3 linked regions of the Mytilus edulis genome follow. The main gene of each other region encodes a partner of the protein of the gene in region 2 in a complex. Links are inferred from orthologs where the notes say so. Each region holds a gene or a part of one and is shown on either strand. Other genes may lie near its edges.

Evidence for each region. The genes of interacting proteins can lie anywhere in the genome.
Region 1: the proteins of ras-related protein rab7 (region 2) and run domain Beclin-1-interacting and cysteine-rich domain-containing protein-like are in contact, whole or in part, in a crystal structure (PDB 6WCW), measured with the Homo sapiens proteins. The link is inferred for Mytilus edulis from reciprocal best matches to the Homo sapiens genes RAB7A and RUBCN. Residues at the interface, in NP_004628.4 of Homo sapiens: Ile41, Gly42, Ala43, Asp44, Trp62, Gln71, Ser72, Leu73, Gly74, Val75, Ala76, Phe77, Arg79, Ser101, Asp104, Glu105, Ile108, Gln109, Ser111; in NP_055502.1 of Homo sapiens: His818, Asn821, Met822, Lys824, Thr825, Arg827, Leu883, Gln885, Ala886, Lys887, Gly888, Phe889, Ile890, Glu892, Gln895, Glu897, Ile900, Pro903, Cys915, Lys916, Arg931, Arg934, Arg938.
Region 3: the proteins of ras-related protein rab7 (region 2) and PDZ domain-containing protein 8-like are in contact, whole or in part, in a crystal structure (PDB 7F6J), measured with the Homo sapiens proteins. The link is inferred for Mytilus edulis from reciprocal best matches to the Homo sapiens genes RAB7A and PDZD8. Residues at the interface, in NP_004628.4 of Homo sapiens: Lys10, Leu14, Asp16, Ser17, Lys38, Ile41, Gly42, Ala43, Asp44, Phe45, Gln60, Trp62, Gly66, Glu68, Arg69, Phe70, Gln71, Ser72, Leu73, Gly74, Val75, Ala76, Phe77, Tyr78, Arg79, Thr98, Ser101, Trp102, Glu105, Phe106; in NP_776152.1 of Homo sapiens: Ile999, Lys1000, Leu1001, Val1002, Arg1003, Lys1004, Glu1005, Gly1007, Leu1008, Asp1009, Asp1010, Phe1013, Ile1014, Lys1017, Gln1044, Leu1051, Asn1054, Asn1055, Val1058, Leu1077, Leu1084, Gln1085, Thr1088, Ile1092.

The regions. Positions count from the first base shown.
Region 1 is NC_092346.1:87,321,397-87,330,068, forward strand, and holds the start of run domain Beclin-1-interacting and cysteine-rich domain-containing protein-like, read right to left. Parts: upstream 3,232-8,672; 5' UTR 3,190-3,231; coding exon 3,155-3,189; intron 1-3,154. Other genes in the region: dynein regulatory complex protein 9-like, read right to left, coding at 7,789-7,899.
Region 2 is NC_092344.1:39,827,985-39,836,008, forward strand, and holds the start of ras-related protein rab7, read right to left. Parts: upstream 3,679-8,024; 5' UTR 3,638-3,678; coding exon of another isoform or gene 3,582-3,637; 5' UTR 3,415-3,581; intron 953-3,414; coding exon 900-952; intron 1-899. Other genes in the region: EEF1A lysine methyltransferase 2-like, read left to right, coding at 3,582-3,637, 4,902-4,967, 6,372-6,489, 7,694-7,801.
Region 3 is NC_092351.1:31,657,309-31,665,254, reverse strand, and holds the start of PDZ domain-containing protein 8-like, read right to left. Parts: upstream 3,232-7,946; 5' UTR 2,908-3,231; coding exon 2,758-2,907; intron 373-2,757; coding exon 254-372; intron 1-253. UniProt on the Homo sapiens protein: Molecular tethering protein that connects endoplasmic reticulum and mitochondria membranes. PDZD8-dependent endoplasmic reticulum-mitochondria membrane tethering is essential for endoplasmic reticulum-mitochondria Ca(2+) transfer.

The sequences.
Region 1 (8,672 bases), on a different chromosome or scaffold from region 2:
GTATGGGGTGGGCAAAATTTCTAGCTTGTCCACTCTGCCCACCCATAGGAGTGGGCATGCAATTTCTTTTGTTTAATCAAAAGACTTGCAAGTACAGTCAATTGAAAAAAGCAGATAAGCATTTGTTATCACTATTTTTACAAAAAAAGAGATTATAGCTAGGGTGGGCACAGGTGGGCCGGTGGAAAAAGCAAAATCCACCCGGGCTGTTGTGTATATGTATAAAGTATTCATATTAAGAACTTATATCTATTGCAATTCTTTAAACCATTTATTTTAAGTATCAATAAATGAGTGGTTTAACATCCTTCACAGTACATTAATGCATTAGATGATGTATACTTACATGACTTTATTAATCACTTATGATGTCATAAGGTAAATCCTTTTACAACGTTTTAGGGTATTGTAAATTCAGAAATTATTGAATGCATTTTTTTTTAGCGTATTTTGTAGAATGCATGGACTATGGACTAAAATGCGAGATTAATTATTACGATTTCATGAAAATCTGCATACAATTATTTGTATCAGATATACAGACTTAAGAATGCATGATATATTATGGCAACACTGATTCAGTCGCATTATTCCCATTAATGAGGAGGGCTGGACCTTTTTGGGACGTCGGAATCAGGTGTTTTTAAGCTCTGGATTTCGGGATTGATCCTTTTTGGGATCTGGGAATTCTTTTTTTGAATTTTGGGATGTTGGGATTTAAATTTCTTTAAATTTGAGACCTCAGGATTTCATGTTTTTAAGCCAATGGCGTACAAGGGCAGTAAGTAAGTAAGCCCGGGATTTCAGGATCAGGACCCCTCCTACCCCCCCTCATTAATAAAAACCTTGCAACAAAAAAAACCCTAATAGAATCCCATGATCTTAGGGTAAGTGTTGTAGAGACCTGCTCCATTTGCATGTACAATGTATCACCCACTATACGAAATCTTTACTTATCCAAAACGTCACAACAGGAAATAAGATCAACAAATCACTTGACTATTTTGATAATGTAGCATAAATGCTGAAGATATAAGACATACATGGACCACATGTACAGTAGGTGTGAACAGAATTGAGGCAACCCTCCAAATTGAGAACATCTAAGATTAGCATCTGAGCATTGCAAGTTTTTTTTGTTTTTTTCATGTTTTCATTGGCTTGTAACAGGTTGGGAACAAACCCCCTATATGGTGATTATACCTGTATAGAGGGATAATCCTTCTTTAGAGGGTAAAAATTATCCCTCTATAGAGGGGTATTTTTGTTTGCACTGGATTTAAAGCAAATTAGGGCAGAATGGCATTCTCTTCTTATTATGGCAGTAACCTGGAACAGTTGATGCACCAATTGATGTACTTAATTTAATATGCACATGCCCAGTTTGATGCTTATCTGACTAAATATAAAATCTATTGTCAACCATGATTGTAAGCTGTGATGATCAGGTAAATTCTACTCACTTATGCCTCACTGAACAGAATTTCTATTGTTAGATTTAACATGAAATTTAAAGGTCAACTATTCCTTTTGTTGTTAATCAGGTGTTCAGATAGGTATACAATAGATTGCAAGTTTTGTCACTTTAGCAGAAAACTGGTTATCCCAATTTTTAGTAAAGTGCATATGTTGATGCATATAAGAAAAATTATTTGACTCCCTAGTTGTGCCTATTGCTCTATACGGTAGTGAAGTATGGGGAATAGGCAAACAACACAGGGATTCAGATCCCTTTGAACACTTGCAGTATAAATTTATTAAAGAAATTCTAGGAATACATTGTAAAGCATCAAATGCTGCATGTTTAGCCGAGCTAAATAGATTGCCTTTATATACCAGAATAGAATTTTCAGCAATAAAATATTGGCTTCATATACTTGAATCAAATAATTCACTTGCCCTAAAAATATATAAAGCAACTGAAAAAAATAACTCTTGGATAATAAATATGAAAAATCTCCTTTCAAGACTTGGTTTTCATTTTATTAATCTAAATCCTATTGATATTAAGATGTATTTAAAACACATTCAAGAGAGAATCAATGATATAGCCTTCCAAAAGCAAGAGACTGACATCAATCAAAATAAAAAAATGAACTTTTTTAATATACTTTATAAACCAAATAAAAGACCCTCGTATGTTGATCAATGCAAATCCAAAAGTGATAGATCAACATTATGTAAATTGAGGTTAAGTGCTCATACTTTATCTATTGAAAGAGGGCGATATCTAAAAATACCAAAGCAGAATAGGGTATGCCTTTGCTGTAACAATGGAGACATTGAAGATGAACTTCACTTTCTTTTAAAATGTTCCTCCTATAAATATGTGAGAGATAACCTTATTAAAAAATTAAATAATGTTCTATTGAACAACAAATTTTCTTCCTTATCATATAACTTACTTATATCAATTCTAAATAGTAATTCCCAAACAATATTAAAAATTGTTGTCAACTATTTGAATGAATGCTTGTTGGTGAGAAACTCATTATTAAAAGGTACTTGATTTTTGTAATAATGTATATGCTTCTCATTTATTTTTTATATATTTCTCTCATAATTATCCACTGTCACTCCTTCATTGTATATATATGTTATTGTAGTTAGTCTTTAATTTGTTGCCATAACCATTTATTGTCAATGTGTTAGTGCTAATAAAGTTATCTTATCTAAGTTATCTTATAATGCTAGAGATTATAGCCAATATAACTAGAAAATGCCATTCTGCCCCAATTTGCTTTAAATCCAGTGCAAACAAAAATACCCCTCTATAGAGGGATAATTTTTACCCTCTAAAGAAGGATTATCCCTCTATACAGGTATAATCACCATACAGGGGGTTTGTTCCCAACCTGTTGAATGTATGTGTTTAATCTTGAACTGGACATCAGTAAGCGATCTGATATAGAAGAAAAAAATCACATTCATACTCTGGGTCCTGGTAAAATTGAGAGTGAATATTAAAACCAGAGGCAGAGGGATCTAGGTCTCATAGTCATGCAGTCAGAGGGCGTATCGAAATGAAAACACGTTTCCATATATTCCTACATAATGACAACTTTTCAGATCATTGAGCAAAGTAAACCCATGAGTTTAAGTTTTGTCTTTGAACTTTGAAATGAGAAAATCTTGCTATAAATACACAAAATACCTATGTTTTAAATGAGGATTTTCCTCATCCGCCATTCCTGTTTACATCACTAATTTACATTCGGACAACATATTTTTGTACAACTGCAAGGTAAAGTCATAAGAGTTCCAGAATGAAATTTAAGTTAAAATAGCGGGAAATACAAACTATAGATGATTTAAACTTAGTTTTACTTAAGCCATTATACAGAGGCGGATTTAGAGCCCCCCTTTCCCGAAACAATTGGTTATATAGGGAATCATTAATCTTTGCACCTTTTAGCTACATAACATTATGTATCATAAGTTGTGGACAAGGTTTTTGTAAAGCTTCAAGGTCTGAAAAATACACTTAATCATCATATTTTGACAAGATCTCCTAAATGCAAGGTTTTTAGAGCCTATAATATAGATATTTGTTTTTCTTGGGTCTCAGGTTTTTGAAAAAATCTCTTTATGAACAAAATGTGTGGCTTTTTGATATGTTATGAACAGAGACATATAGGTGTCATACCACCAATTAAAAGTCCCTATCTGTTCAACCAAATTTTGCAATTTTCACAGCTTTCTAAATAGTTTACCTCAAGTTTAACTTCATAGAAACTAGGTATATCCTGAATTGTACAGGTGTCACCTTTCTGCATGCCAATTTTCAACATACATTCAAAATCATATAAGAAAGCAGAGAGCTTCCGAAAGGAGGTACCACTAAAAATAACCCCTGGTTTTCTGGAAATCTTAAATTAGTATACTATGGAGCGCATTAATCCTCAATTTTTAATGCAAACTCATAGACAGGTAAATTTTGGCTCAAAATAGTCTTAATATATTTCTCTTTCAACAAAACTTTCATTTCTGCAAATTTGTTAGTTAGTTTAGGTGAACAATGACATCAAATGCACTTTTTTTTGTCCGAGTAGGCCTACTTTCACATACGTTCTAAATTTGAGGGAGTAATTGGTGGTATGACACCTAAAGAGACAAAAAAGTTGATTAGAAATCTTTTATTTTGCTTTATTCTTAATCCTTAGTCAATTTGTAGTTAAAAACAGCCTATTTGAGCATTATGCGACTTATAGTAAAAATTTCACAGCTCAATTTAAACTGACTGTAATGTATGACTTTGATAGAAAATACTTGAAAATTTCATTTTGGGCTACAGGAACATAAACTTTCAATATCAAGATCATTGTTTGCTAATTTTTTCTTGTTTGTTCTACTTCTTTAAAGACTTCCAACAATTTTTGCAATGAATTTAGTAAAAAATCCAAGGTATTGAAGTGTCGAGGAATATTGACCCCCCTTTTTTTCATCTGGTGTCAGTAAAGTACTACAAATTGATCAAAAGTGCAGTCATGGTCATTTAACCGTGTTTATTTACATCAGTTAATAAAATTTAAGATATAAAAATTTCATTTGGAATAATAAATGGTGCTTTTGTGAGTTTCTGCAGTGCTTACATTAGGCTATGCTATCTGCCAAGTACATAGTATGACGCAATGCTATAAGGGGTAAAAATCAAATAATTTCATTAAATCTGCATGACAAAATTTTTTGGGGGGTAGTAAACAACTTATGTTTCAATGTTTAACACCACAGAATACCTTTCTGTGCATTTATAACATTATTTAGGACATTTTTTATATAAAAGCATATTGTCAGGATGGGAAAAGCTAAAAATAGGACAAACTCAAGTTTTAGGCTCTAAATTTGCAATATGTGACATTTTGCCCCCAAAAAGATTGAAATGTGGCTACTTTTATCTCAAATGATCAGTTAAGACAAAAAAAAACAATTGTTTTCTGATTTTGATGTTTCACCGCATTTTGCTTAAAGGTGTCATACCACCAATTAAAAGTCCCTATCTGTTCAACCAAATTTTGCAATTTTCACAGCTTTCTAAATAGTTTACCTCAAGTTTAACTTCATAGAAACTAGGTATATCCTGAATTGTACAGGTGTCACCTTTCTGCATGCCAATTTTCAACATACATTCAAAATCATATAAGAAAGCAGAGAGCTTCCGAAAGGAGGTACCACTAAAAATAACCCCTGGTTTTCTGGAAATCTTAAATTAGTATACTATGGAGCGCATTAATCCTCAATTTTTAATGCAAACTCATAGACAGGTAAATTTTGGCTCAAAATAGTCTTAATATATTTCTCTTTCAACAAAACTTTCATTTCTGCAAATTTGTTAGTTAGTTTAGGTGAACAATGACATCAAATGCACTTTTTTTTGTCCGAGTAGGCCTACTTTCACATACGTTCTAAATTTGAGGGAGTAATTGGTGGTATGACACCTATAATAGATCATAATACAATTGTCTCTGGTTATGAATCTTAATTGTCCTTTTTCAACGAAGGATGTCTCTCACCAAAGAGAATAAAAATGTATCTAAAAGACCATCTATAGCTTTAAATCCAACATACATTTTAAATTAGGTTAATAACATCATTATTTCACATTTTATTGGTATTATTCAAATTTGACAAAATCTGTCAAATTTGTGGTTTTCAGTTATCTTCAGGTATTTTCCAACCGGTCATGTGTATTGAAATAAGCCACACTATTGTTAGAATCTCAAGTACATCCAGCTGCATAATGTAGATGTATTTGTAAAAAGATTGCAAGCCTTTTTTAATTGCTGTGGTGAGAAATGAATTCAAGTAAAATTTGCCCTACCTCTTTATTTTAGTGATACTTGTTACATTGTACAAAGTTAAATCTAAATACAGGTATGTATGATGGAAGGACAGGATGTTCCAATTTATTGAAGTTGTAAAGTTATGCAGATGGAACTGTAAAGTACACACCTTTTTACTGCAACTCCTCTTGCATGTTTTTTTTGTATGAATATGAAACTATATATACATTGAATTATTTTATATGCAGATGTTCATGAGTGGATATTCCATATCTTATGTAACATATTCATTGATTTTTTTATGTCCACCAACCTGAATAGTACTATTCTATGCCCAACATCTCTGTTTATGAATAGATTCTTTGCATAAATTACAAATACTGTGAATTATTTGCAAAACATCAACTTTTTTTCTTCATTTAATAAACTACAAGTTCTAAAGAACCAGTGTCGCTCACCTCAATGTGTGTGCATGATCAGCAAAGGGCAAAAACACAAAAAATATTTGTAAAAATAGTCATTAAAGAACTTTAACTCCAAAAAGGAGTCAACTGAAGATTTCGGCCATTAAACTTGTTTGTAGATCTGGTCTTGCTGACTATTTTTACTATTCAAATTGTCTGTCTTTTGAAATTTTTAAGGGAATTCGCTTCTCGGTTTCAAAGTAATTAACTTTTCAAAACACTAGTTTATATTGATAGGGGATTAATAAAGGAATCCAAAGAGCAAAAAAAATATATAGGTCACTGTGCTCGTTTTCAATATATTAGCCATTGGAATTTTGGCGGGAAAATGTTCTCTCTTGACTTTCCATAGCTTTATCATTTACAAGTTAAAGTCCTCAAAAACTATTAAAAAGTAATTAAAATTTTAAAAGACTTTAACAGACAGCTTATCATTATACATGTATAAGAATTATCAAAAGAAAAATGGGGGTCACCGGGCAAAATTTTTTTATGCATTCAAATGGATAAAACCAAAGGATTCCAAAAATCTGACAAAAATCCCAACATGACAAGCCAGCTTCTTTAAGTTATTAGGCAGTACAAAAAAATCCTATTATAAAAGGGAAATAATTCTTTTGATGACTCCACTGATGACGCAAGTCATGTTGACTTTTGCTATTTAAAATCTCTATCAACCATAGTTTTTTAAAAATAACAGGCAAAACTTTGTTAAACTGGTAAAATTTGTCATTTATAAAGGGTCGTCTGGCAGTTTTGATGTAAATATGCAGCAACTGACCTCAACATTGTGACCATTTCTGTCCCTGTCAAGATTTTCTTTATGCATAGGAGTTTGCAAGATTATAGACGAAACTTGCATTTTACCTATAGGTATTCTTTAAACTAGATACCCCAATAAATATTGGGGCCCAGAAGACAACAGTTTTGTAAAATTAAAAGACAATGCTGGACACAAGTGATGAGATTAGCTAACTTGGGCCTGTGGGCCTGGTGAGCTTGAAAGCAAAGTTTTAAAATATAAATCTCTAGATTGTTAAGATTTTAAGTATTTACTGTTTCTAATCCAGAGTTTTCACTGAAATTGAAAACTGATCTAATTTTGTGTAATCATTTATAACAGTCCCAACTTGTAACTGCTAACAATTATAGCTTCAATTTACGTTGCTATGCTCTGTACCTCTTTATTAAAATGCTCATACATGTTTGGAAGGGCTGAAAATTGACAAATCCTACAATCATATTACCAGGAAAGGCTGTAACTTCGCACTTCAGTGATTTTGTTTAAACTAGATTTTTAAACTGCTTATTTCAAAAGCATCCTTGTATTGTTCATCGTAACTACACATTATATTACATGTATATAATTAATAAAATATGTATAAGAGTTTTATTTTCTTTATTTTATATATTCACAACAAAAACTTTATGTTCTGACATTTTAAAATATACAGTAAAATTAAGATAAAAATAAAAATAACTTGTTCATTATCACAGTCCATGGTAAACAATAATTACATAAGTAAATTTGAAAATTTTCAAGTCTACTTCTTCTTCTTTCCTTTCTTTCCTTTTTTGCCCTTCTTTCCTTTCTTCTTTTTACTGTATGGTCCAAATCCTTTTCTAACCATGACTCCTCTCCACCAGGCTTGGATCTGTAAAACAGAGAAATAAAGAATGAAAAATTTTGATTTTTGTGAATTTTCTTCAACTGTTTGTGCAATATAATATAATTCCTAATAGTCCATTTGCCAATTACCGATTTAATTCTGTTATTACACACTTTTTAAACAAATTTCTTCCCTTTGTCAATTGTACACCGGTTCCATACTGGACAAAATTTACTTTTGCCAATGCAAAGCATGATGGATTGAAAGTGATGTATCGGTGGTTTAACTAATTTCTGATGTCAAAAGTATTCAGCTTAACAACAAATTAATGTAATTAAAAGATTTGAAAACCTCAAAGATTCCTCACATTATGATCTTTCTGCTAGCTCTCCATTGTAAATACAAATTATTGTCCTTCGTAAGGGAGACAACTAAGAAAGGGATCTCTAATAACAGGGTTAATTACAGGAATTGGCAAATAGCCTATTGACCTTATATATATGATGCAAAGATTAATCAAACTGTGTATTAATATAAGTTTGTTTTTCACTAAATGTATGTTGGGCACTAACTGGTAACAAAAAGTCCAACTTGATGAGAACTTTTAAAGACTGCAGAAACTAGGAACAACACTATCTAATTGGTAAAAAATCATAAATTTCATGAAAGTGCTTAAATTAACACAGTATCTCAATATCTATCTGGTTCAAGTTAAGTATTTTTTTGTGGTTTATATAAAGTTACAAAGTCCTACCTTTTTTGTGCTTATTGATACAAAATATTTCCAGAAATATAAAAAAAATATGATAAAATAAGAT
Region 2 (8,024 bases):
TTGGCCCTTCGGGCCAGGTGAGCTAAAAATAATCCAATATATGTTGTACATGTATCATTTATGTGTACTTTGATTCAAAACAAACATCATTAATAAATGACAACGGAAATGTATCAATTGTTGTAACCACAACCACATCCTCTTTTCCTCCAATGTGACATCACAGAATACGAGTAGTAACGGAATTTGTACAGACATGTATATGTACATGAGCAACTGGGTAGGCAACACATGTGGAGCAGAATCTGACTGCTAACCCTTCTGGACTCATAAGAACACCCTCAACTTTTGGTAGGGGTTCATGCGTTTGAGTGTTTGAATTGATAACAGAAAACAAGAATGTGTCCATAGTACACGGATGTTCTACCCCCACCATCATTTTTGATGTTCAGTAGACCGTGAAGTTTGGGTAAAATATCTAATGTGGCATAGAAATTAGAAAGATAATGTCATAGGGAACATGTGTACAGTTCTACATTAGGATCTTACAATATACTATTACTAAAGTTTTTTTTATATGAAAAAAATCATTTCGGGGATTTGCCAAGACAAGGTTCAGATGCTACTTCTTGAACATGAAGTTTCATAACATTTGCTCTTGATACAGTTTTTTTTAATCCTTAACAATTGGAACCTTAACTTCTGTCAAACTATTGACAGTTTTGTAAAATTCCATCAAATTTTGACAAAGTTACAGATCATGATCATGACCCCTAAAAGAAACATGAACCTCATACTGAACAAAAATGTTGACACCATCAAGGAATAGACTGGAATACAGGATTGACCACTGTTTTGCTGTCAAGAAAACTCCTCATCAAAGTTGTGATGGCATAAATAAATACAGTATTACTATTACTGTTCATTTACATATTTCTTAAAGTGACTTCTCAACTTACCCACTGTCCCCTAATATAATAACTTTAAGCAAAACTTTTTTTCTTGATGCCATCTGAAAAAATAATAATCCATTAATAAAATTTTGACATGTTTTGTTTTCAAATTACTATAAAAGATATTATTTATTTTTTTAACTTGCATTACTACAAATTAATATTGAAATCTTTTTTTTTCATCTATCTCTATTTTATTTATTTGCATATATGTATACATAGATTCCAAGAAAAATGAAGGAAATTGCAACTTTCAGGCATAATTCAAGCATTTTAACAGAAAAGCTGGTTATCATAGCATATTCTCAATACCGTTGACAGTTTGACACAATAACATAAAGAGACAGCAGCAACCACTGACCACATTCCTGACCTAGTCCTGACATGTACATGACATGTTTACTTTCAGATCATTAGTTTAAGAAATACAACAATGTAATGATGTACAAAATGTGTGGTACATGACGATGTACATCTAAATCAATGTCTTTATAGCCTACTCACATTAGAAACTAGAGGCTCATGACAACCTGAATTTGCCTACCTTGCAAAAAAATGTTATATAAATAATACTTGATATCAATTTTATAGTTAACAACAATCACTTTTCCATTGTGACGTCAGATATTTTGTTTTATGCCGTCCAAAATTTACGGGAATCTGTGTATGTCTATTCATATTACATGTACATAAACGCTGTACTTGTGGATTCATCTAATTTCATGGATTTAGGAAAATCGGTATTTTCACAGATACATTTTGTACATGTATTTGAAATCCTGTTTTTGCCAATACTTGGCTACAAGCATGAAGAAAAAATGAACTTCAAAAACTTTCAATATCGTGTTCCATCTTTACCAATGAAATCCATGATAATTGGTATCCCACAAATAATGTTAATTCCATAGTAAGTTGGTTTTACATGATTATGACTGGTAATAAAACTAATACTCATTGTCTAATACAGTGATGTCCCTGGTGTCCGTGCGGCCAGTGATACTGCGCATTAGCTGATTTCATCATATAAACAAAGTAACACAAATAAAATCGTTCTTGTTATTGTTTTAGCCTTCTGAAGGGATAAAAAACAACAAAACTGATAAGTTCAAAAGTTAGATAATAATTGCAATCCTGTGATTTACAATATTTGGCCAATTTTCGGAAATTCGGGTCCGTTCAAATTTAACCGATTTTTAAATTTTATTTTCACCGGAAGTCACGTTTCTTTGGTAATTGTGGGAAATCTCTTTGAAACAAAATAAATATTTGCCCACTTGAAATGGAATCACATCTTATTTTATCATTTCTTTTGGATATTTCTGGAAATATTTTACATCAATATGCACAAAAATTTGTAATAAAGTAAAAATTTCTAACCAGCGATGAAAATTTCACATCAAAACAGTGGCAGATCCAGGGGGGGGGGGTTCCGGGGGTGCGCACCCCCCCTTTAATTTTGCCGATCAATGCATTTGTATCGGGACATATGTTTTGCACCCCCCCTTTGCCCTGGGTTCCCTGGGTTAGCACCCCCCGTTTCGAAAATTCCTGCATCCGCCGCTGCAAAATTAGGTCTCAAACTCCAGACGTAAAAAATGGCTTCAGCGTTATGACGTGGTAGGAAGGCGTCCAAGAAAAAAAATTAAAATAGCCTTGCCAGACGTCATAATATTTGGACTATACAACATGTACATGACAGTTGGCATATCAGCAGTCGGATCAATTTGATCTACATTAGTGTTTTGAACTTATTAAAAAAATTATTGTTTTCAAATTTTATACCAATTTCAATTTGTTTTAGATGAATGAGTGAATCGGCCTAAAGTAAAGGACAACGAACTGTTGGTGCTTACTGTACAATGTACTGTGAAGTAATAACATCAGCAATGAGAATGATGAGACATATGAAAATTACAGAAAGGCGCAAACATTGGAAAGAGGTCTATGGATGATTCTGAATGATTCAAACGTTAAAGTAGCCATTGTCATGATTGTAGAGCAGCGCCATGATTTCAGACTGAAGTAAAACTGTAAAAATGTATTCAAGTTACTCAGCTACACATATCATACTATTGAAGACATATCATACAATTTCGAGACTGAGCATTTTTCCCCGTGTGGCACAATTTTTTTTCTCATGTCACTCTTTCATTGAAAAAAGAAGAAAACAGACTTGACAATAAATTATCTGGGCTCTAAATGAATCAGCTGATCAACATCAAATTTATTGAGGTCATGTTTCTAGGTATTTTTTTGTGATTTTTTATTTGTGTTATTTACGAAAGTAAAGTCTCCTTCTTTTGCAAGAATGATAGACATCTTAGCAGTTTTATGTATAATCAGACGTTATACAGTTTGTTGATTAGTTTATTTCAATATTTGTCCTGTTGATCAACATTTTAATAAAATAAAAACTAGGTGTCATTGAACAGTCGTTTCTGGTGTTCTTGTGCAATTTTATGACTGACAATAGCGATCAAACTGAAATATGAGTTCAGATCTTACTTCTAAATTAAATTACCTTGTTTTTGTTTGTGAATAAATAGGTTACTTCAGCTGTAAGATCTGTTAATAATCAAAACTCCTACAAAATGGCGCAGTCGCGTGACCCATATTACGTCAAAATTTATTTACTTCCGGAATAATTTTTCGGAAGGTCTCTTACAATATCGACCCAAAGTTGTTGACATGTCAGGTCCAGGGCAACGTGATTTTGAATCATCATCATTAGGCACTATTGAACAGTAAGCACGTGTGCACAAAAGCAAATGCGTTTACTGTAAACATTATGATTTATAAAGTTTTCTGACAGTATGTAATTTTATTGATTATAAGGCACAAAATAGTGATGACTGTAAAGACTATATATTTTTTTTATATATAAAGTTGTCAGACAATGAATGAATGATGGAAATCAACTGATCAAAGGGAGACTGAACCAGTTATTTTCATTGAAGATTATTAACTCCTATCGTTGTAAACTAGTACTATATCATCTCGTACCATTGAAGTTCTACTCGGGTAACATTGCTAACTCCTTTTGTTGTAAATATGGCACGTACACAACACTAGAAGGTCCCTAAGTTGTTGTATTGTAATGTAAAGACTTTCTGACCTTACACTTGTATACTTGGGCATTCTATAGATTACTAAAAAATTATAACAGGTAAGGTTTTCTTCCTTCACATATTCTCAACATGTCAAAATTTTGGTGCCGTGACCAGGATGTCAAGAATATATGAATAAAGGAAGAAAAGTTGCATGTACAGTTTATTTATTTAGAAAGACACTTCTTGACAAGGTGAAACAATAGATGACTATTTAACAGCATTGAGAGAATATCAAAAAGCATATGGATATATCAAAGAACAAATTAAAGTTGGTGGTGTTGTTCTCCTTAACTATGAGTCCACAAGAATTAATTAGAAATTGTTTTTATAACTGAATTTATTTGAGGAAACAATGGATTTGTGAGTACAGCAAAAACGAAATTTAAGTATACTGAAACAACAAGGCTGCATGATAGTGAAACTTTATCCGCAAGAAATTACATGTAGTATGGTAAACGATGATAGATGTGAACAAAGTACTGTACAAGACATCTGTCCAACTTCACTGACGTCAATTATTTACTAAATTAGAGATAAAGGTTCTGAAACGGTTAATTTGCCAGTCATGACCAAATCTAAAATCGATTTGTCCTAAACATTAAATTGGGATTTAGGACAAATTTTTTTTTTTCAGATTTTTTTTTCTGTCATTTCGTTGAGATCTGGTTTCTTAATCACCATTTTGTACTTGTTTTTGTGCTATCTCTTTTCTGTAAAAAAAAAAAACTGCCACTCCAGTATAGTATGAATATCCTGAGGACCTTCCTAAATACAAAATGTAGCTATATTTAATGTCCTTCGAAAATTATTCGATTAATGATCGCTTATTTCTTTTTACCAGTACATTATTAATTCTTATACATATGTCTAAACTGACATCCTCATATTTCTTTTTCAGCTGGGATTCCACATATGAAAAAGAACTAGAAGCTTTTAAAGATATAGGTGATGTTGGAGAGATCTGGTAAATTATTAAATGAAAAACTAGGTTAAGAAAAGTAAAACGTTTCTGCTTTTTCTTGGAAAGGGATTATGTTGTGGCATATTTATAAACATATCTTCTATATTCTTTAATATGCATACATGTTCAGTAGTTTGTTGATGTGGTTCTTACATGTAAGTGTATCTCGTTTCTCGTTTTTTATATATAGTTAAGACCGTTGTTTTTCACGTTTGAATGGTTTTACACTAGTTGTTTTGGGGCCCTTTATAGCTTGCTGTTCGGCATGAGCCAAGGCTCCGTGTTGAAGAATGTACTAAGACTTTGACCTTATAATGATTAACTTTTACAAATTGTGACTGCAGAGATGTCTCATCAGCACTCATACCACATCTTCATATTTCTATATATGATCAAATTATGAATAGTAATAAATCAAATGTTGGATATAGACATGATAGATACTTGAACTTGCAAAGATCAATGTAAGTGAACACAAACATTTAGTATTAATAAATAATAAGAAGATGTGGTTAAATTGCCAATGAGACAACTCTCAACCAAAGACCAAATAATGTAGTAGTCAACAAATATAGGCCTCTGTACAGCCTTCAACAATGAGCAAAACAAACCTCATAGAAAGCTATAATTGGCTTCAATAGCAATAATGATATGTAAAACAATGGAAAAGAGTTAACTAATAGCCTTAGGTGAAAAAAAACATTTGTTTCTTGTTGGTTAAAAAAACAACAATTTTTGTTTATTTATGTCAACTTTATTTTATAACTTTTATTGAGGCTTATATGGAAACTTCATATAATAGCTAAGAAAAAACTATCAATATGATATTGATTGTTTTTTCTTGGCTAAAATGGTTAATAACAAAATTTTTATTCATTGTTATTTTGATAGCTGTCTGTTTGTTTCCATATAAGTTAGCGCATAAGTTTTTGTTCTTCGTTTATTGAGAGATACAAGTGAATGAGATATGATAAGCTGGCCCTGAAATTTCCAAAACTGTAATATTAATCCAATTCCTTAATATTACATGGTTCAATCGATAAATGAAAAATAAAATGATACTGACCTAGTTTAGAATAGAAATTGAAGATGTGATTTCACTATGACATTATAAACATCTTCAAAATTGACATATTGTGAAATGACTATTTTGCACACATTTTGTTGGTAAAACTAGTTATGAGCAAAATGAGGAGAAACTCTTTTTATCGTATCTTTTTCAAGAAAAAGTCTTCATGTTACTTTTGTTTTTGTTTCTGCTGCTTGAATAAATGATGCATACCACAATATTTTAAGTTTTCACATAAAATGCTTTTGATCGGAGGAGAAGAAGTAAGAATAAAGATGCCAAAAATGAAAAACTGCTTATAGAAAGAAAAAGTTCTAATACCTGTTCAATAATTTTAGGTTTGGAGAGGATAGTCAGGAAAGAATACTGGACTGGATAGAAGATAATGAGGAAATAAAATCAGATGATTCCATAATAGATTTAGGCTGTGGCAATGGAATGCTCCTTGTAGAATTGGTAGTTTGCTTATTGTTGTGTCCATGAACGTTGTTTTACATTCTTCTTTACTGATGACTAACATGAGTAAATATATGTAGTGTACTTATAACTTTCTTTAAAGTCAGAAAAAAGTTTTAAAAAAAGGGAAAATTCAAATCAGAAAGTCCCTTAAGTATCAATTGGCAAAATCAAAAGCTCAAACACATTAATCAAATGGAAAATAACTGCCATATTTCTGATTGGTAAAGGCATTTCATTATGTAGAAATTGGTGAATTAAACCTGGTCTTAAAGCAAGCTGAACCTCTCAACCATATCTCTTTAAATGTAATTCATATCTCTAATCACTTTTAAATACATTTTTTGGTTTTATTAGTACAATAGTATTGGCTCTGCCAAACATGACATCACCACTCATTCTTATAAATATTGAAGGTTTATGTTTTTTCAAAGTTACATATAAAGCATTTCCTGAATTTATTAAGATGACAAATTTATGAAAAGTATATATGGTAACAGTAACATTTCTAAATGAAGAGGGCACAAATACCAACTTATATATTCATACTTGTTATAATATATCATTGTAACCCAAAAGCAATAACGCACTGGAAGAGTTGGGATATTCAAAGTTATAATTTTTGCTTTATTGTTAGGATCTTAAAAGATTATTTATTTTTAATACTGATTGACCATGTAATCATTCAGGGGCGGATCCAGCCATTCTAAAAAGGGGGGGTTCACAACCCAGAGTAAAGGGGGGTTCCAGCTATATGCTCCCATTCAAATGCATTGATCGGCCAAAAAAAAGGGGGGGTTCCAACCCCTGGAACCCCCCCTCTGGATCCGCGCCTGTCATTTGTGCCAAGTGCAAAATGGTTAGCTTAACATGTCTCTTGGGATATCCCTAAAAATGTGATAGGGTAATTTTGGAACATCCTATCTGTATGAACAAAGAGTGTTAAATGTACAGCAATCAGACAGTGATCCAAAAAAACATATTTAAACATTACGATCAGTTGATTTTCAGCTATCCATAAAACCTGCTCAGCCACTGATATTAGTATTAAGATATGAAATAAGTATCATCTACATGAACAGAAAAAAAAACTAATCATTACAATTTTGAAATATTCCATGGAAATCATAGTACATGTAGATATAAAATGAAAAACTATATTAATAATATTAACAGATATATATATATGTTTTTTATACTTTAGAGCCAGAGAGGTTACAGTAATTTGACAGGAGTTGACTATTCTGAAGGTGGAATAGAATTAGCCAAGTCTATAGCTGTAGGCAGTAATGTTGAAAATATAAAATACGAAGTAAGGATGTTTCACTTTTTATTTTTTTAAATATGATATCAACCTGATTAATTTAAAAGATTGGTCAAAGTAGTTAACCAATACAAACAGTTGTGATGTCAGCATTTAGTTTTAAGCTTTTTGTTATTTAGACATAATTGTTTGCTCTGCAAAAAAGTTATAGAAATTTCAGCTTTCTTGTAGTTTTCATACGACCCCAAAAATTGCGGTTGTATATTGGTAT
Region 3 (7,946 bases), on a different chromosome or scaffold from region 2:
AACAAATTGTGACTGGCACTCATACCACGTCTTCTCATAAATGTACATGTACATGTATCTATTTTCTTCTAATCTTAAAAAAATGTGATTTGTAACAGTATTTATATTTTTTTTTATTTTCAAATCATTAACCATGTTAACAGGTTAAAATTAGCCTAATATGTACGTCTCCTTTATAAAAGTTGACTTTTAAAAGCATGTGAACTGTGTGGCTATTAAAACTAGCTTCAATCATGAATGTGTGAAACCATACCTTCGAACACGATTTGTATCTCGTAGCTCTTTGAATAAAAACTGAATGACCAAATTTAATGCTATACATGATTCTTTGCGTCCTTTCTGATCCTGATCATGTATTACTGCTAGCAATTCCTGTAAAACATTATCAGAACATGCATCATGTTACAAACCTTTTACATGTAATGTTTATGCATGGTGTGACAGGATTGCTTCCCTTAGAAAAACTTAGTAGATACTTAGTCAGCCGTAAGCAGTTGAGCTAAGGAAGTACTTCTTTAGCTCAGTCGGTTAGTGCGCTGCCTTGTAACACAGAGGTCTCGAGTTCGAGTCCCGGTGGAGACAAGCAATTTTGTAATGAAATTCGTGCTCTACGGTTACATTGGCGCCCAACAATAATAACCCACTGTTAGAAGAATTACCTAGCCAGGTTAAAATATAAATATAAAAAAGATGAAAATATCATCATTATAGAGTATAATGACTCTTGAGGTGGGGGCGGTGTGACGGGATTGCTTCCCTTAGAAAAACTTAGTAGATACTTAGTCAGCCGTAAGCGGTTGAGCTAAGGAAGTACTTCTTTAGCTCAGTCGGTTAGCGCGCTGCCTTGTAACACAGAGGTCCCGGGTTCGAGTCCCAGTGGAGACAAGCAATTTTGTAATGAAATTTGTGCTCTCCAGTTACAATGGTATTTCTTATTTATTAAAGAATCAACTCTTTATTTTTTTATTTAATGAATGTTCAACTCTTTGAGTCCTAAAGAATGTTTTCTTGTATACAGTATACATACTACAAAATGTACATAGTGTGTTTACCTGGAACATGAACATGAAGACCAAAACTTGGTCTATACCTGCTTTGCTACATGCATTTTATTGAGGTAGCAAGTGTACTAATGAGTTTTATACAATAGCGACATAAAATTACCACAGTGATCGAAAATACAGAGAGATTATAGTGTCAATTGCAAGTTGACACTTCTAAAGACTAAAAATACTAAAGCTTAAAGATGAAGCATAAGGATGAAGAAAATTTCCAAACTATATTTAGTTTGACTTGAAATAAGTACTTTCATAAATATCAGAGCTCCAGATAAGAATTCACAAATTGGGTTTTTTACCCACCATTTTCTTATATAATTGGGTGATAAAGTTTTTTGATTGCATTATCAATTCCAAGTCACCCCTCATGTTAATATCAAATTGGGTTTTTCACCACCAAGCTCCTTAATGTATTGGGTTTTTTCATCAACACAATATTGAATATTTAGGCAATATCAACCCCAGATTTTTTTCCATCTTAAATATGTTTCTTTCTTTGTTTAGCTGTTTTATTTGGTTTAGGGTTCGGGTTAGGGTTATTTGCTAGCTGTTTTATTTGGTTTATTGACGAGCAATTGTAGGTTTGATTTGTGTTCCGTTTCAAACCTTCTGCTAGTTTTGTATTTTCTCATATAAACTGTAAAAAAACCGGATATTGTGTATTCACAGGCACTCGTCCTATACCTTTATATAATAAATTCTGAGATCAGTGCCTGTGTGTGTATTCATTAATTAACCGTAAAATGAAGAAAAAAAAAATAGTATATAAACTCTAATTATACTTGAATGTTTTTGTTTTATTCCAATTTTCATAAATCTGGGTTTATTTGTCTTTTATTAGAACTTTTGGTTTCTGATGCTTTATCATGTCATAATTGATTTGGCCTTTCATCTTTCCAACTGATTTCGTTTTTGAGGAAACCCTGCTTTTATTAGCAATGTTCTCGTTAAGGTACGCACACACGCCCGTGTGTTCGATGGACGCTTCCTAAAAACACTGGCTGAGTCTTGTTATCATCATAACTTTCCCTAAGCTTTTCAAAAGAAGCAGAAAACATGCTTCTATTCAATATTTTTACCGGACATTCACTTTTGTTTTAATTCAATGTATGTTATGATAAATCCCGAGCAATGCGAAAAAAAATATGACTTCATGACACACGCTAATTGGATAAACGCCGAGAAGATCGAAATGTTTTCAAAAACACGTGTAGCTATTGAGCAACGGAAAACTCTAACAGGGACCCATTTCAGCTACTTGATGCAGGGATCTATTTTTAGAACGAAAGGAAATTTCCAATTATAAATATTATAAAAATAGTTTACGCGTCGACTGTAAACAGATAAGGGTAAATAACGCAAATGGTGGCCAATAAAAGGGTTGAGAACTTATGGTTTTGGATTATAATTGGGTTTTCCTTTGAATTAATTGGGTTATTGAACCCTGCAATGGGCAATTGCATTGGGTTTTTTATTATTTGTATTGCGTGATCACGCAAATACGCAGCTTATCTGGAGCTCTGAAATATACTGTAATGTAAAACTAAGTAATGAACATGTTTGAATGTAAATTTTCTTTGAACAATAGTTTTGTGAAATATTAAACAGAAAAGACGTTGACCATGATGACAGATGTTGTAAAAATTTTAGGTCTCAAACAACCTATAGACTTTTTTGTTTTCTATCTCCTTTTTCTCACCTTTGGCAATTTATATTGACAGAACTGTGGTTTGTGGGAAATTGGTTCTACAGGAATGGCAAGAAGTCGTCTTCTGATGACAAATGTCTGGATTAGAATAGTAACCACAACACCAATAATAAAAGAGGCAAGACACAACGCCACCAACATTCCACTTTTCTTCAGCTCACCATTATTATTGATACTTAATGAGTTATTTGTTCATGTATGACAAATTAAGAAAATTGTCAATGTTTTTGTTTATTTTCATTTTTCTGTCTGCAACTACCTCCGCCGTTTTGGTGTGTATTTTTTGTGCTTTGGTGTACTTGTTTGTATTATATACATAGATTGAGTTTTAAGAGGTGTGTCTAGAACATATTCAGATTTATTTTGTGTTCCAATTCCACATCATGTTGTCACAAAAATAAATAATATTTCGATTTTTCTGCTCCTGATTCGTGTGAATGAAGAGTTCTAACAAGGGGACGTAATTATTCGCGCGAGAATTGTGCATCTGAATACCGACAGTAGGTTGAATCCAACGTTAAGATAGAAATAACACCAAGTACAAGTGTCACCTCGACACCTGTCCAAAAAGAATTACAGTGCTTCTCAGTTTGATATTTTTATGTCAGCTTTTTATTCGTGATTTTCATCGTTCCTCACGCCAGAGACACCCAGAGTTTCTAAATAAGATCTAAGAGACTGGTAATTTTCTTTCATTTGGGGTAACCAGTTGGAGAAAACATAGGATTTTTTTATATTTTTTTCTAGTGGGGTAAATTGTTTTGAACAACTTTGTGACTCTAGTCTTCATGCAATTTTGTTTGCCTGTTATGTTCACAATGACATTTACCACACCTTAATTTCAGATTGTTTGATTGATGATGTTCACTGGCTGTAAATTTGTAGTTGGTATGGCAATCAGTTGGTGCACTACCCTGTAAAACATGATGACCTTACATTGAGCTCTCCTTTCTTGTCAGGAGTACTGTCTTCCAGTTTAGTGCCTGTAGCATTGATGTTACACTACTCGTTCTTCTGTAATCATTGAGTATAAATCGTGCGCGTCGGCGTTGCATAGCTTCTAATTTGTTAATGTTGTCCTTAGGCAGCAACCATTTGATTTTCGGGGGAGGGGGGGGGGGGGGGGGGCTATGTATTTTTTTGGAAAAAAAAGTTTGTTTCCAGTTTTGGGAGAAAAAAATAATTTGTTTCTTTTCCTAAGAAAAAAAAATTGTTTGTTTCACCCTCAGCTGCCACTATATATGTAAATGCTAAAATTGAAAGAAAAAAAATGTTTTCGACTTCTCGCCAAAAAAATAGTTTTTCCAGAAAAAAAATCCATAAAATCAAATGGTTGCTGCCTTAGTAGATGGATCCCAGATGGTACCAGAGTATTCTATTAGTGGTCTTACACGCGTTTGGTAGCATAAGGCTTTAGTCTTACCTAGGCTAGGACAGTTTTCGATGTTCCTTTGAAGAAAAGCTCTGTTAGAGTTAGCTTTCTTTGCGATGTTGTCAATGTGTTTATTCCAACTTAATGTTTTGTGTATGGAGGCGCCAAGATATTTCGCAGAATCAACCTCTTCTAGGATATGACTGTGGATATCATAATTTGCCTGAACTGTTTTTCGCTTTGTTGTTACTCTTAAAAGAGTTGGCATTTTTGGGGGTGGAATTCCATCTACCAGTCTGCCTCCCATTGTTGTAGTCCATCCAGGTCTTTTTGAAGGATGGTCACATCTGTTTCATTTCTTATCTGTCGGTAGAGAACGCAGTCGCGTCTGCGAAAGGTCTAACATTTGAAAATGACACATACTCTGGGATGTCATTTATAAAAATAAGAAACATAAACGGGCCAACCACGCTACCTTGTGAAACTCCAGACTGCACTAGCGAAGTTTCTGACGACTCTCCTTCCAGGAGTACACATTGCTGTCTGTCTTCCAGAAAATTTCTCAGACATTTTAATGTCGCTCCTCCAATGCCATAATGGTTGATCTTGTACAGTATTTGTAGAAGTCTAAGAGAATTAGATCTACTTCCTCTTTATTGTCGATGTTTTTTGCTAGGTCTTGAATTGTGAGTATCAGTTGGGATTCACAGGACCATTCTTTTCTGAAACCAGTTTGAGCATCAGTCAAGATGGAGTGACTTTCTAGGTGTTTGATGAAGTTGGTACAGATGATATGCTCCATAATATTACAGTGAGCTTCATTGAAGAATTTAGTCAATAAACTTATAGATATACTATCCTGGATGAACGCTTTCAATCTTATTATGTAAATCTTAGAAGTTAAGTGGAACTAGGAAACAATTATACCTTTTTTGCCTATAAATTGAATGTTTGCTATTAACAACAATATATTTTTTTGTCAAATATTCAAATTATCCAATTTATTTTTGGTTCAAACAATTTGTTTGTGACCGCAAAATATTTTGTGGTCGTTAATTGGTAACACCTGTTGTCCGAAGATATTTGGTTTCCAGATATATAACTTTAGTATCCTCTTGTATTGTATGTTCGACCTACTAATGATAATTTTCCGAAAGATTAGCTGTCAATTTATTTTTGAAGTTACTCTTTTAATGCTGATTAAAGAATATGAATTGTAACCATGATGCTGTATGTCATTTTCTATTCAAAAGAATTTAATGATGTATTTAAATGGGTATGATTATGATTGCAAACTCCATTTGAATTGAGATTATTCGTTATTCGAAAGACAGAAAGTGTACCCAAATATCTTTTAGTCACGTTTGCATCTACCTATTGACTAAATGTCTGCTTAATATTGGGAAGATCGGGAGATCAGGGGGCTATCACCATTGCCTTGTGACCTTTGTCCTAAAATTTTGATAATTTATACCTGAAAAGTAACAATATAAGCCCTCCATAGATAACGAATATGACATTATTCTGGGAAATCCTTCTTATACAACCTTTATATACAGAGTCTATGACTTACTTCATTTTTAAGCACATTGAAAGTTCAGGGGGCTCTTTTTTTCAAAAAAATTTCAACACAATTTTAAATATCCAATATCGAATAACAAACCAGCTGCTAACATTACACACATTAATACTTCATGGTAAACTTCCAATAGGAAAATTAAGTCTGCATGTTCAAAAATTTCTACCAATTACAAGGAGAATACAAAAAGCCGAATCACTAAGACATTCCATTGACATGCATCATGGTACAGACAACAACCACTGAACATCAGATTCCTGACTTATGACAGGCGCAAAAAAATGCAGCGGGATTAAACATTTTAATGGTACCAAAACTTCTTCCTTCTCTGAAATAAAAGGTATAACATCACAACATGTTTATTCTTTTTAAACGGCATCGGTAGTCCTGAGGTAGTGTGTTTCCCATGGGAAGAGAAGTTCTCACTGTTTGAGGCCAATCAGAGTCAAACTATATTTTAAAATTGGTATATGTTGCTTCTACGATAAAATGCATAAAAAAATAAAAATAAAGACTGGTCTGCTGGAACTCCAAATAATGTGTCAGGGTGTGGCAACACAATTTCCTGGGGACTGTTACTTTGCGAAAAGCTTTTAGATAGAAAGAATCTCACAATAAAAAAATCAGCAATACAAAAACAAACAAAAGTGAGGTCATGAATTAAATTTGAAAGTAGGTCCCAGGTGAGCAACTGGGGCTCATTAGGGAACAACTATTCGATTCTCTGTGATAAGACAGGGATTTGTACCCTAAATCATTTTTAATGGCTAATCACAAACAATATTTTTTTCAGCATATTTCAAAACGATATTTTGTTTACTGTAACACTTCAATTAGTATGTGTTCATGTACAGTTATCCCACCATGTAATATATATATAGACCAATCAGTTTTTTATCTTGTTTCTCGCCCGGCTATATGAATGACCAGGAGACTGTTGCCTATCATGTCTGTCGATCTTGCTAGATCAGGTTGACGAGCTGTCTTTATAAAGCAGTAATGAGGATATATACAGTAAAGGGGATATCCAAATGATGTTCCATGAAGTCATAAAGAAGTTGTGACTTGAAAGATTAGTTTCCTCTTAGATCCCCAAAACAAAAGAAAATGACCTTGCAGTCCCTTATATTGATATTAATGTGTTTTGTTAAATCTTTACGTTTTTATTAGATATTTTGTTATTTTTGTATGGCAAGCCGTTTAACTTACTCGAACTTAGTATAGTATATAAGACATCTTATAGACCTTATATAATCTAGTTTTTGTAAAATATCTATAAAATAAGTGTGGACACAGATCATTGTGGATAGTATGTTAATTAAGTTGTTGATAATGTTTTCCGACAAAAAGAGTTCTCTATTTTTCCCATAGGGTTCTATATAAAACTGTTGCACAATGACATCCAACCTGCACCAAACTCTAAACATTAGCAGTGTTGTTTATTTAATATTTGTTTTTTTTAATGCATATGTTCAAGACTGCCATGAAGGAGACACTAATTGCATTGATTACAAAATGAATATGATACGATCTTTGATTTTGTATAAGCTAGGAAAATGGAATTAATATAAAGTAATGAAAATGTCTTACATGCTGCTTAGGTCTAGATGAGCTAGAAAGTAATTCTCTGTGTAATGTTTTATTAGTTGTTTCTTCGAAAATGTCTTTTCCAAAGCCTTGTCAAGTTAAAAAAAAAATTGACCAGTATCAAAATGAAAAAACATGTAGATATACTTATAAATGTTTCATCTACCTGTATTAATTTTATGTTTATCTAAACACCTGTGTGATATTTCTAATGCATTGATCACCAAATGTTACATTGTACAGATGTCTCCAAGTAATTACTACAATGACATGTTCAAATAAACATCACAAAATGACTAAAAGAAATACTGTTTAAGGTAATTTTTATCCTTTAATATCACAATAAGTATTTTAGTTTTATTAATAAAAGTAAAAGCTGACCATTTTAAAAGAGATAAAAACACTTTTGTTGAATGTTGAACCATGTGAACCACGTATTATCAACAATAAGCACTAACCGTTCTGTAGTGAATGCACGCTTCTGTTAATGGTAGTAACATTAGGATAACCAATGAATTGTATACTGTTGTTTAACAAGAAAATATTTCTAGTTTTCACTTTTTTAGTATCTGAACTTTAACTAAATATAAATATTCATCATGATACAAGATGCTTTCAAATTGAACAGTGTTTGCGTTAATG